Saccharomyces cerevisiae S288C: one gene and its partners. Changing the gene in region 2 together with the main gene of any one other region gives a genetic interaction. Each region holds a gene or a part of one and is shown on either strand. Other genes may lie near its edges.

What was found.
Region 1: mutations in MIG2 (region 2) and UPS1 together harm fitness more than expected from each alone (negative genetic interaction), as found in Saccharomyces cerevisiae (2 studies listed by BioGRID).
Region 3: of MIG2 (region 2) and MIG1, changing one enhances a phenotype caused by changing the other (phenotypic enhancement), as found in Saccharomyces cerevisiae (10 studies listed by BioGRID, with this or other methods).
Region 4: mutations in MIG2 (region 2) and FAR3 together harm fitness more than expected from each alone (negative genetic interaction), as found in Saccharomyces cerevisiae (2 studies listed by BioGRID).

What each region holds. Positions count from the first base shown.
Region 1 is NC_001144.5:539,509-542,239, forward strand, and holds UPS1 (Ups1p), read right to left. Parts: upstream 1,029-2,731; coding exon 501-1,028; downstream 1-500. Other genes in the region: HCR1 (translation initiation factor eIF3 core subunit j), read right to left, coding at 1-81; NCW2 (Ncw2p), read right to left, coding at 1,301-2,065; glycylpeptide N-tetradecanoyltransferase NMT1, read right to left, coding at 2,429-2,731. UniProt on the Saccharomyces cerevisiae protein: Required for maintenance of normal mitochondrial morphology. Required for PCP1-dependent processing of MGM1.
Region 2 is NC_001139.9:94,093-97,506, reverse strand, and holds MIG2 (Mig2p), read right to left. Parts: upstream 1,650-3,414; coding exon 501-1,649; downstream 1-500. Other genes in the region: SIP2 (Sip2p), read right to left, coding at 1-169; Rab family GTPase YPT32, read right to left, coding at 3,047-3,414. UniProt on the Saccharomyces cerevisiae protein: Involved in glucose repression of the SUC2 gene.
Region 3 is NC_001139.9:431,048-434,618, forward strand, and holds MIG1 (transcription factor MIG1), read right to left. Parts: upstream 2,016-3,571; coding exon 501-2,015; downstream 1-500. Other genes in the region: VIR1 (Vir1p), read left to right, coding at 1-283; YGL034C (uncharacterized protein), read right to left, coding at 2,167-2,532. UniProt on the Saccharomyces cerevisiae protein: Involved in glucose repression of the SUC, GAL and MAL genes as well as of the CAT8 gene. Binds to two sites in the upstream region of SUC2.
Region 4 is NC_001145.3:377,941-380,700, forward strand, and holds FAR3 (Far3p), read left to right. Parts: upstream 1-1,645; coding exon 1,646-2,260; downstream 2,261-2,760. Other genes in the region: YMR051C (gag protein), read right to left, coding at 1-385; STB2 (Stb2p), read right to left, coding at 2,406-2,760. UniProt on the Saccharomyces cerevisiae protein: Participates in the control of the reentry into the cell cycle following pheromone treatment.

The DNA of each region.
Region 1 (2,731 bases), on a different chromosome or scaffold from region 2:
AATTTCAGCATCCCATGAGTCCATCAAAACGGCGTCATCATTACCCATAGAACCATTGATAGCTTCGTCGTCCCAAGACATTTTTATTACTTTTTTTTTTTTGAGGTGGTGGTTAGGATAGAATAGTTACAAGGAACTCAAAAGATAGTAAGATAATTTAAAGCGAGAGTTCAAGAATGGTGGGAGCAGTCAGTTCTCAATTCTTTAATGTAGTACTTCTGACTTAGCTAGCATGAAAAAAAAATTCGGAAAATGCCCAAAAACAGGTGTGTTCGTCTAATATGATACAGGGACGACCATAATATCAAGATTAGTGACATTTGATGTATAGTTTAGCAGAATGACTGTTATAAATAAATAATTATATATGTGTGTATATTAAATTTTGTTGAACCAGCGCTTATTTACAATTTTTAGGACGTGACCAAATGCGAGCTGCACTAGTTTTCTCAATTTCGCTCGCCCATGGTGATATCTTTAAAGATCTTTAAATGGGAACATCAAAACTGAGGATTTCTCGCCTCTTCGAGTTTTTGGATAACAAATGCCATGCCCATTCTGCTTTTCTTAACGTTTTCGTCAAATTTAGTGCGCGACCAATCCTCTACCTTAGATTTGATACCCATATTGAAGCCACTTGAAAACTTCACCCGGCTGTCTGCTATCGTACTACTTGTAGCACTGTCAAATTGATAGGTAGTATATTCTTCAACCTTCATGATTCCAGTGTGATCCAGATTCCTAGTGTAAGTTTTCATTGTGGAGTTAGCGGGGTTCACTACGGAAACTTCGATTATCCATGTTTCTGTTATACCTCTTAAAAAGGGTTTGACCCATGTGGGCAGCTTTCCGGACTTTTTCAACAGCCTCGTTGTGCGCAAATTTCCTTCTTGATCAACGTTCCTTGATATTGTGTCTATGGATAGTACATGGGGGGAGTATGGATTGGGGTATCTATTAAAAAAGGCGCGTGAAACAGAGGCAAAATCGGTAGGAAATATATGTGTGCTTTTGTGTAAAAGGACCATTGCAACTCTTAAGGATATCTTACCGCCGTCTCAGAAGCCAGACAATACTTATTGAATATGATTACTCATCCATCTGTCATATATATTTTTTTTTTCTAGCTTATTATCCAGGGAGAGCGAGAAATACTGCGGAGTTTTTCACCCGAAAGAAAAAAAATACGCAAGCACGATGATAACAATAGTTATATTATTGGTTACCTACAGTGTATAAAAAGAAAGAGTTTTATTAAAATGCAGAACTATGTGGTGGTATACAGAACTGATTATACATTCTATAACAAAAGGGCACCAACGGCGAATGCACCCGCACCATAAGCTATGTGAGTGCCGGCAAAGGCGCCATTGGTAGAATTGGACATTACGGACGCTACCTTACCGTTGACTGTAGACTTGTATGTAGTGGTCAGTGTCTCTACTGTAGAACCTGACGTAGTGGTATAAGTTGATTTGATAGTGCTTACTACCTTGGTGCTTGATTCCGGTTTTGATGAGGATCCCGAAGATGATTTACTTGATGAAGCCGTGTTGTCAGTTGTGGCTGAGGACGGTAGCCACCAAACAGTAGATGTGTAAGTCTCACCTAACGAATTCGTGGTAGTTACTATAGTAACTGGCCCGTCCGTTGATGTTGATGTCGTTGAGGAGGATGCGGAGTTGGTGATTCCGCTTGACGTCTCTCCGGTGGGCTGCACAGAGGCAGTTGAAGTTGTGCTTACGGCAGAGTTGCTTTCGGCCACCCACCATAGGTACTGTGTCGTGGTTTTGCCTTGTGCATCCGTCGTCACTACGGTGGTACTTGGAGCCACAGCATAGGTGTTGCTGACGACGTTGCTAGTTTGTACTAAGCTTTTTCCGGTAGAAACTACAGTTGATGCGCTTTCTTGGGCTTCCTTTGTCGTGGTAGGTGTGATCTCTTGAGAGTTTGAGCTTTCCTTTTGTGAGCTATCTTCAGAGTTCTGGCCATCTAAGGAACCAGAGTCTTTTTGAGCAGCGGCTAGAGTAATTAAGGTGGTAAATAATATGGAACAGGCCTTCATTTTATATATATGTTGGGTTTGTTTATATTTTCACTAGATCGGTGAGTATCTAGTCCAGAAGAGTTGATCTTTCTTACATACTTATATATGCTCACTACCGCCTTCTGAGAAAGTAGGCGTTTTTCAGCTACCTCAGTCGCTAAAAATAAATGCGAGTTCTCAAGCCAACTTGGACTCCAAGGCGGTAATTATAGTGATTCTCTTTGTCTATTTTTGGATTTATTTTGGAGGCTGACACTCTAAAGCCAGCCATTGGATTAATTATTTTTTCACTTCGTCAATTGACTATGCGGAAAAACTAAATGTGGTCAAATTCTGTCGGCTATGTACACGAAAACTATATACGCCTCGTCCTTTCAGCCACTACAACATAACAACACCGACATTGCTACGCCTTTTAATGTCGTTACTATTGTCGGGATTCAAGCCACCGGTAATCGGCTTTGCTCTATAATTAAATAAATAGAAGTTCAAGAACCCGTCACCGGGCCCGAACTTCAAATCATCCAAGAACAATGTATTATCTTGCGAAGTCAACGCGTTAAAAACATCCATATTAGCGTTTTTGGCCAAAATACAAGCGTCATAAATCAATTCACACAATCTTGTTTTCAAAGCCTTAGTAGCTTTTGGATCAAACCTGTCTTTGAATTGGAAATCTGCATC
Region 2 (3,414 bases):
AACATTTATTTAAGCTCAGTTCAGTAACTTTCTTGCTCACAGCATCCATTTCTTGCGGTTCGCAGCCTTGAGCATTGCTGGGTTTTTCTCTAACGTCACTCATGATAGGTGCACGACACTTTTTTGTTGTTTGCTTTTTTTGGGCTGGATGACTTGTCGTAGTACCCATAGAAACTTCACTGCTCTCAGTACCCTTCCAAAAGCACAATTATTTCAGATACTTTTCATTTCCCAGGAATCTTGTGGTGTATTTATCCTTTCCCTAAAAGATTTTGACGATCCGAAAACGCAAGGTAAATCTTTACTCGGTCCAAGGGAGCAATATAAAAGACCATGCCGGCCGCAATTCGTATAGGTAAACGTGCTATTCATGACGATGCTAGTTAGTGATATGCATGGTTATCTATTTAATCTATCTATGTAAGTACGCGTTATATGCTAAGTTGTTTCATGACAGTTCGTTAGAGGAAAAATGGTGAGATAAAAAGGGGCCGTAAAGGTTAAACTCTTTTGGGACCGTTGAAAACATCAATTTGTTTCAGTAGGTTACGTACAGGCGGCAATTTTACGCCTGACAATTTCTTTCGGCTTTTGCTAGATTCATGATCTAGCGACTCGTGCTCCTCCTCATTACTACCACTGCTGCTGTTATTGGTATCTTCTTCTTGTTCTTCAGGAATTTCGAATTTTGCTCTTTCCCTCCTAGTCTTGGTGGTGTATCTATTGGAATCTAAATAGACGGACTCAAGTTCTTTGGCCACGGCGAGCTGAGAAGGAGCATTGCTGAAAGGCAAAGAGATAGCGCTGCTGGATGCAGAGGTATGACTGGAATCACTTGGTGAGGATGGTGATTCTATAGTGGTGGAAGGGGCACTTACAGGCGTTCTTTTTTGTAAGGTAGATAATGCAGATGCAAGAGAATGTGCAAAAGTTTTCTGCTGCTTGGCAACAGAAGGGCTGGCAGTTTGATGCTGATACTGCTGTGGGATATGTTGCTGGTGTAAATATCCATCATTCGGAGAGTTTGGCACAGAGCGTGGAGTGTTTACGCGAACATTCATGTTCGAGAAGATAGATGAAACATCACTATTTGACTGTATGGAGCCAATAGAGCTCTGGAAAGAGGTGAATGATTGCGATGGAACTGGAGTGTATGTAGAAATTGGCATAGGAGAAGTTGCAGGCTGGAAAGATGCAGCGGAGGCATGAATGGGGGCTGGTTGGGCCATGATTGGTATCACCATTGGGTGCACCGCATTGGGAGCGTGTATAATGTTACCTCCATTTACTGCCTGAACATTTATGGCCATATTTGCTGGTAGGACTTGCGGTATTGGTTGGTGTATCATCACGCCCGATGCAATGGTAGGAATTCCGCTTACTGTCAAAAACTCCTGTTTCTGTACGCTAGCTTTCTTCAATCTCCTTTGAGATTGCCCTGTATGCGTTCTCATGTGCCTTTTCAGTTCATCGCTTCTACTGAAACTTTTCCCACAACCAGGAAATGCGCAATGATGAGGTTTTTCCCCAGTGTGTGTTCTCAAGTGTCTCTTTTTATGTTCTAACCGATGGAAACCACGGTGACAGGTATCACATCTAAAAGGTCTGTTTTCGTTATCTACTGGGAAATTCGTTTGCTTTTTAGGCATTCTCTTTTTTTATTTTTATTTTGTTTGTTCTCGAGGTCAATAGTCTTAGCGTGAGTTAAAACTTAATTGAGAGTTAAGATAAGCTACACAATGGTAATAGTACAAGGACAAGCACACAATTTGACAGGCAGATCGTAAGTTACTACGTATTATAGACGGGTTTCCCAATCGCTTATATACCAGAAACGCTTTTGACCGGGAATGATTTTCGGAAAAACTTTCTCGCACGGATTATTTACCGTATCCTCGTACGAGATTTTTCTCAGCGGCATATAATTTAGAGTTATTACTTCAGTTTTGCGGGTGCTCCGTGGATGTCTCCGCGGATAAATTTTCGGATGAGCCAAAAAAGTGGAGGCGGGGTTTCTTATCCCGGCTTTTTTTCTTCTTCGTATGAGCCTATCAATCATTAACTGATGGTAATACGCTAACTTCAATGGGGAAAGGGGAGAGCTAGTTGACGCAAGCTCCGCAGGGGCGATAGGGCAACTACAGCACATCGCCACAGCTTATTAATTCGCACCGTGGAGATGATGGTCGCTCGTAAATCAGCTCAGTGAAGATTATCGTTTGCCATCGTGCTTCTCATATTACATATTCAAACAAACTACCACAGAACTATCATTGGGGTAGGTATAGCTCAAATTCAACAAGGCCTGCCTTAAGGGCCATAAACTATTTTATACTTTCTTTGTTTTTACAAGTGGGGGAAAGAAAGAGCGACAACCGATTTTTCTAACCTTCTTGGAACCGAGAACGGTAATTTCCGTAAATAAAACGCAATTACTGTATCGAGCGAGTTTGTTTTCCGAAACACGCTCTAATGTAGATTCGAAAAAATAATGATATCAAAGATGAGTAGGCCAATATGAAAAAATAACAAAAAACTTAGCAACAGAAATTGAATCATTGTCGTACCCCATCCTTGCGTACGTAAACAGCCTTCCTTCTCCTGCCTACCCCTCACGTCGTCTCGGATAAACCTTCAAAACCCGCAATTTCGGAAAAACTTCCAATATAAACCATGACGAAATTTGTATCCGGGAAGGTACGTGAAATACACAGAGCGAACGTTTATAAAACCGTCTAATTCTGCTCATGCGTGCGGAAAAAAACATACACGTGTGTTTTTAGACTGCACAACAACAGAATATTTAAATCGTAAAAAAAAAATCATATTCTTATCTTCGGCTATTGCAAAATGCAGGCGTCAGGAAAGGTCTATTTAGAAAATGTATGTACGTTAATACATTTTTTCTTGCGTGCAACGAAGGTTAGTAATAAATAACTTGGGAAGGTATATGTAATTGATTATATTTATAAAAGCATTATTAACGGGGGTTATATGTAGACAGAATATGCATGAAACCATGCGACCTTAGTAGGGCACAAAATTTTTAACAACAGTTGCTGGATTTTTTCTTCTTGTCTTCCTTTGGTGCCGGTGTTAAGCTGATGGTAGGACCCTTTGGAGCGCCATTAGAGCCCATGTTGTTGGTACCCGACCCGCTTAAGTCTACTTGATGTTTGCTTACCATTTGGAAGATGGCTACGATCAGTTCTCTAAATGCTTTATCTACATTATCACTATTTAAAGCACTTGTCTCAGTAAATAACATTTGGTTTTCCATTGCGAAATTTTTCGCTTCATCGGTTGGTACTGCTCTTAAATGAGCCAGATCTGATTTGTTCCCTATCAACCCAACAGCCACGTTGTCATCTGCGTTCTCTCTCAGTTCGGTAAGCCAGTGGTTGCAATTTTCGT
Region 3 (3,571 bases), 340 kb from region 2:
TATGACGAGACAACCAACCACCTTAACTAGAGCAACCGATGCTATGACTACGGCACCTACGACACCAATTCCATACAAGAACACTAGTGGAAGCAGCAATAACAATCTATGGATTGAATCGCCCATGACAAATTTCAAGGGTTCCACCATCAGTAAAAGTACTAATAAGAGCAAAATGGTTAATACTGGTAAAAATTATATTTTAGGGGGCCACAATAAAGTTAAAAACAACAGTAGAGCTCAATCAATACATATAGATGACTTTGAAAATGAGAACAATTAATTATCTCTGCGGAAGACTAAGACAATCAAAATATGTATTCTTACTATCATAATTAAATATTTTTATCGTTATTAATTATTATTATTATTACTATTATTATTATTATTATTATTATTATTATTATTATTTATTATTTATTAATTATTAATTGTTAATATTATTAATTCTTGTCTATTGTCTTTTGATTTATCTGCACCGCCAAAAACTTGTCAGCGTATCAGTCCATGTGTGGGAAGGGCAACGGTAAACTTCTTATGGGTGGTAATGTTTCCAGTTCTTGAACTTGTGAATCCGACTGAGAAATGGGGGTTTGTTGGGTGGATATAGCAGTATTAATCATATTCACCCTTGGTGACAATAATAACGGGGTTGTACTTAACGAACTACTGGAAGCCATCATTTGATTTTGATTTTGATTTTGACTTTGGTTTGACGTATTTTGTGATTGCAGTAGGGTATGTTGCTCTTGCTGCTGTTGTTGAACGTTCAGTAATCTGTTGTTCAACTCCTTTTGGAAATCAGGAGATGATGAGGAGAAATGCAAGTGATTTTGGTTCATTACATACCCCAAAGTGTGCAAATTCGTACCACTAGTGGATCTACTTAGCATTGTCGTGGGCGTGGAAGTCTTAGATTTCTTTCTTGATTGCTCTTGCAAATAGTCTTGCTCAAGGTTATCGATACTAGAGTTAGACGGGTCCTTTAGTCCGTCTTCTTCATCCTCACCACCAGTAGTAAAATCAGAGTCAGATTCGTTGGTATTTCTTTGGCCAACCAACAAGTCGTTCAAACTTAAAACTGAACTTGGTCTCTTCAACTGTACGGAACTCTGAGTTTGTGCTCTGAGACTTCCATTGTTGTTTGGATTTGCATTGTTCAATCCTTGAAAATCCGTTAAAGATCGCGGCCTTGGTAATATAACAGTGTTGGAATAACGTGGTGAAAGAGAATTTTGTTGTTGTTGTAGTTGTTTCTGTTCAGGACCGTCTATGAAAACAGTCCTTGGCGCACTGCTAGCAATGGGCGTCATCATTTGTAGGGACGATAACGCGTTCAGTTTCAGTCTACTGCCACTATGGCTATTGCTCAACGAAGACAAAGCAGTGGAAGCGGATGAAGTTTGGTAGTTCATATTATTCAGTGCTAAAGAAGGTGGAGGCTTCACCGAGACGGGAATCTTAGCCATCGTTTTGGGAGAAGAAACCATATATGGGTCATTCCCACCACTTTCGCCGATTTCGAATTTGGTTTTTCTACCTTTTCTTGTAGAAGATCGACTTGAATTTTCTTTCGGAGCAATAGCAATAGGAATTAAAGGCGATAGGTGTTGCTGTGGTAATGGCGGTGAAAAATTTGCCGTATTTAAATCTGGTATACTGGTAGCACTAGAACTAGCACTATTTATTGGAGAGCCCACAACCTTCTTCTTTCTGCCTCTTTTACCTCGAGGGTGGGAGTTTGTATGAATTCTTCTGTGTCTCGTCAGTTCATCGCTTCTACTGAACCTTTTCACACATCCGGGGAAGTCACACGCGTGAGGCTTCTCACCTGTATGAATTCTCATGTGTCTCGTCTGATGTTCCAGTCTGTGAAAAGCTCTATGACAGATAGGACAAGCATGTGGTCTTGGCGCCTCTGACTTCGCAGCTACTTTGGACTTGCTTTTACTCTCCTTCAATAGTGACCCATCATCAACGTTAGACACTTGTGTCATTGGATATGGGCTTTGCATGGCTATGGTAGTATGTCGTCTCCACTATACTCAACTCTCGTGTAGTTACAAGCGAGCTAGAATAAATGGCTCTCTTATCTTCGAAATGCTTTACCGGGCTTTCTTACTCTCCTTTGTCTTCGTTAATGAGTACTGGGGTGAAAAAAAAGGGTTATAATAAATAAATTATCCAAGAACGACTATTCTCTTTTCTTTTTTCTGCTTGCTCTTCCCCACTTTTCTCGTCCAGCCTGTTGTAAAAATTTGTTGTTGCTTCTTTCGTATTAGTTTTTCCGAAAGAAAGCGCCGCAGGGCCTTTACCATCACTCCAGGTTTTCCCGGAGTGGGGTGGCAGTCCGCAGTCTCTCGCGAAATCAAAGGCAACAAGCAGACACGTGGAGAAAAGCCAGGAGAACTCAAGAGCTCGAACAAGTATGCTAGCAACTAAACAAGCCGGCCTACGCCACTCTGGAGTTTCTCGCGGGGCCCGGCCGCTACAGGTTTCCTGAGAAGCCATTATAATGGCAACTACATTCATCAACACTCCATAAAATCCTATCGAGTTACACTGCTAGTGTCGCAATTGCGCTTTTCTGCTGCTTAATTGTGGGCCCCAAGCTCTTATCACTTGCTACCATCCTATAAACTGTATGGAATGCCATCACAACTTTCGGAAAAATAAAGCGCTTTTTTACGCTATCAGTGGAGATATTACGAATTAGGCACAGGGAAGAAATAGATAAAAAATTCATGGGGCCAACCCCAGACGTCAATCTTCTACACGTCAAGTTTTGAAAAAAATTAAATAAAAAATAAAAAAAAAAACCGGCGCGAAGGAAACGTGCTGGCTCGCTAACTTCTAGTCTTACTGTACTGACTACCTTCCAGTCCTACTGGTTATACTGCATTGTACGGCAACTTACACACCCCACGCACTTACTTTCCTCCACAATGCCATCTAGAAAAATCGATTACCCGCTAATTTTCCGGGAAAAAGTCGATTAATGTAGGTTAGTGGCAGCTATGCTAAGCAATGATAAAGGAACCATACACGATATTTCTACAGAAGGCTATTAAATAGGGTGAAATAGGATGAAGCAACAATCAAAAATTATGAAAGCATCCGTTTTCTCGCTATTCTAATAATGGGACAGAACTGCCAATTCTTGATCTGGTGATCCATACGATTAAAATAGGGGTTCATCGCATGGAAAGTCTGTAAATCACACTTGCCTACCATAAGGAAGTCATCAATTCCCGAATTTTAAACGGGTTTCTATGAGTATTTGGAGGATGTTCATTCTTGGTAACATTACTGATGACATTCAGTGATACACTGCCTTCAAGGAAACACACGCGATAGAGGCAAAACAATGTTGCAACGGCAATTAATTTCTGTCATTGTAATGAATTTCTGCTCGTTGCTTCTAACCATATCTTGTGTAACGCTTGCGTTGATATGCAAAAATAACGAGATGGAATTTGCTGCCCTCTTTCAGCCATATGATGGCGGCAAAAACTTTGAAATTTGTGCACAGGATATAATAAGCTACTTCTTGACTCTAACGCCGTACTAC
Region 4 (2,760 bases), on a different chromosome or scaffold from region 2:
GTGATTGTGGCCCAGGTGGAAAGTACATAGGCGACATTTGATAAGGTGTATACGGAATCATAGATGGGTGTCCGTAAAATGACCAACCAGATGGATTGGCTTGGTTTTGGGTCATCATGCACTGCTGTGGGTACGGCCCATTCTGTGGAGGTGGTACTGAAGCAGGTTGAGGAGAGGCATGATGGGGGTTCTCTGGAACAGCTGATGAAGCAGGTGTTGTTGTCTGTTGAGAGTTAGCCTTAGTGGAAGCCTTATCATATTCTTGAATTTTGGAAGCTGAAACGTCTAACGGATCTTGATTTGTGTGGACTTCCTTAGAAGTAACCGAAGCACAGGCGCTACCATGAGATATATGTGGGTAATTAGATAATTGTTGGGATTCCATTGTTGATAAAGGCTATAATATTAGGTATACAGAATATACTAGAAGTTCTCCTCGAGGATATAGGAATCCTCAAAATGGAATCTATATTTCTACATACTAATATTACGATTATTCCTCATTCCGTTTTATATGTTTATATTCATTGATCCTATTACATTATCAATCCTTGCGTTTCAGCTTCCTCTAACATCGATGACAGCTTCTCATAACTTATGTCATCATCTTAACACCGTATATGATAATATATTGATAATATAACTATTAGTTGATAGACGATAGTGGATTTTTATTCCAACAGAAGGTGATCTAAAGATTGAGAAACAGTCACCAGATTTAGGGGAAGCTGAAATGCAATGATTGATAATGTAATAAGAAGCGAGAGGGAAAGTATAAAAAGGAAGTGATCAATTTGTGAATAATTTGATAACCGTTGGGATTCTATTGTTCGCAAGGGCTTTATTTTATTATGTGTACAGAATATAATAAAATTTCCCCTGAGAGATATACCAATCCTCAAATTGGAATCGATACTCCTATATAATACAATTACAATTATTTCTCCCTCCCTTTCGTATGTTTCATTATCCTAGTACATTATCAATCCTTATATTTCTGCTTCCATTAAATTTTACGACTGTTTCTCAATGTTTAGATCATCTTCTTACACTGTATATGATAATGTACGAGTGGCATGAATACTACTGAACAGATGATATTTTATAGCTTCATTCCAACAGAAAGAACATAAAGTAATATCGTTACGTAAAACTATCGATTCCCTTTTGACGATTCCTACATCCTCGAGAAGAAGTTCTAGTATATTCTGTGTACCTAATATTGTAGGCTCTAACAACAATGGAATCCCAACAATTAATCATCTTGATTATTTTATTCCCCGCGTTTTAGAGCATCAATCTTGCCAGCTTATAGCTGGTCATTGTCGACGATAATCTCAAGCACAGGGCTAAAAAATAAATTGAAACGGACAGGAATTGAACCTGCAACCCTTCGATTGCAATCTTATTCCGTGGAATTTCCAAGATTTAATTGGAGTCGAAAGCTCTACCATTGAGCCACCGCTTCAACTTTTATTGTTTATATTGACACCTGTATAACAATATAACCACAATAAAAGGTTCATTCAAAGCTCCGGCTAGCATTCGGCGATTAATGAAGAAAGTTAAACCGTGATTTATTACTTCTTGCTCGTTTTTTCCATCATAAGTTCGCACAGAGCAGTATATATAGTGATTTGCAAATATGAATAGCGGTGGTAGTGATAGTTTCGATTATCTTCTTCAATTAACAAAAGCTTTAAGTGCAGAGTGTCGGGCTAACAGACAAGAGACCGATCGAATAGAACTATTGTTAAAGCGCCTTGCCAAACAGTCAGGAATATCTTATGATAATTTGAGCAAAAACATAATTCCAGATTCATGGAAAGATAATGCATCTCAAAAAGCATCTCCCCCCACTGAGGCACAGAAGCTTATCAGCGAAAATTTTAAACTCATATACGAGATTGAAAAACAAGAGTACTTCAATACAAAGGCTGTTGCGCTAATTAACAACATAAATGAGCATTTCTCATATATTAAAAATTTTATCGACGAACAGAATGCAATAAGAGAACGAAATATTGCCACATTTTCATCAGAGAAGCTTGATGAAAGGAACAAAAGTCTTCAACAAAATTACGAGTCATTGAAGACAGAAAATGAAGAAACAAAAAAAAAATTGCATTCAATTATCAAACAGTTTGAAAAACTTTTGAAGGAAGTGGATTGGGATCGTATATCTAAAGATTCCAGAGATTACAGCCGCTTTAAAAAACAGTTGGAATACCTGCAAGACACGTACCAGGTACTGAAATAGCCTACGATGGATCGAACAAAAGTGTAAGCAGACGTGAAATAGCAAACCTTTGAATGCATTTATATATTTTAATATACTTATAACAACGGATAAATGTTTAGATCCCTTTTGAAAAAAAAAAAAAATTAGGATGAACCGAAAAAAATCATACTCGTATTCCTCTATCGTCTTCACTGGCATTATTGTGTAAAGAATTATTACCAAATAACCACCTGAACCACCCCACAGTATCATTCTTTAAATCTTTAAAATAACGGCGGCTCAGCATCTTTAAACAAAGAGCTTCATAGGTGGGGTTGTTAGTGGTCATCAAATCATTTACGCATCTATCATATTCGTCTTTATCACTCTTGGGATCTATTGCAGAGCATATTCCAGTTTTACCCTGTCCCTGAAGAGAGCTTTTCAACCCAATTAATTTGGAATCAAACTGAGCAACACTACTTTCAATATCTCGTACACGAACTTCCAATATCCTCATATCATATTTCAACCTAGAT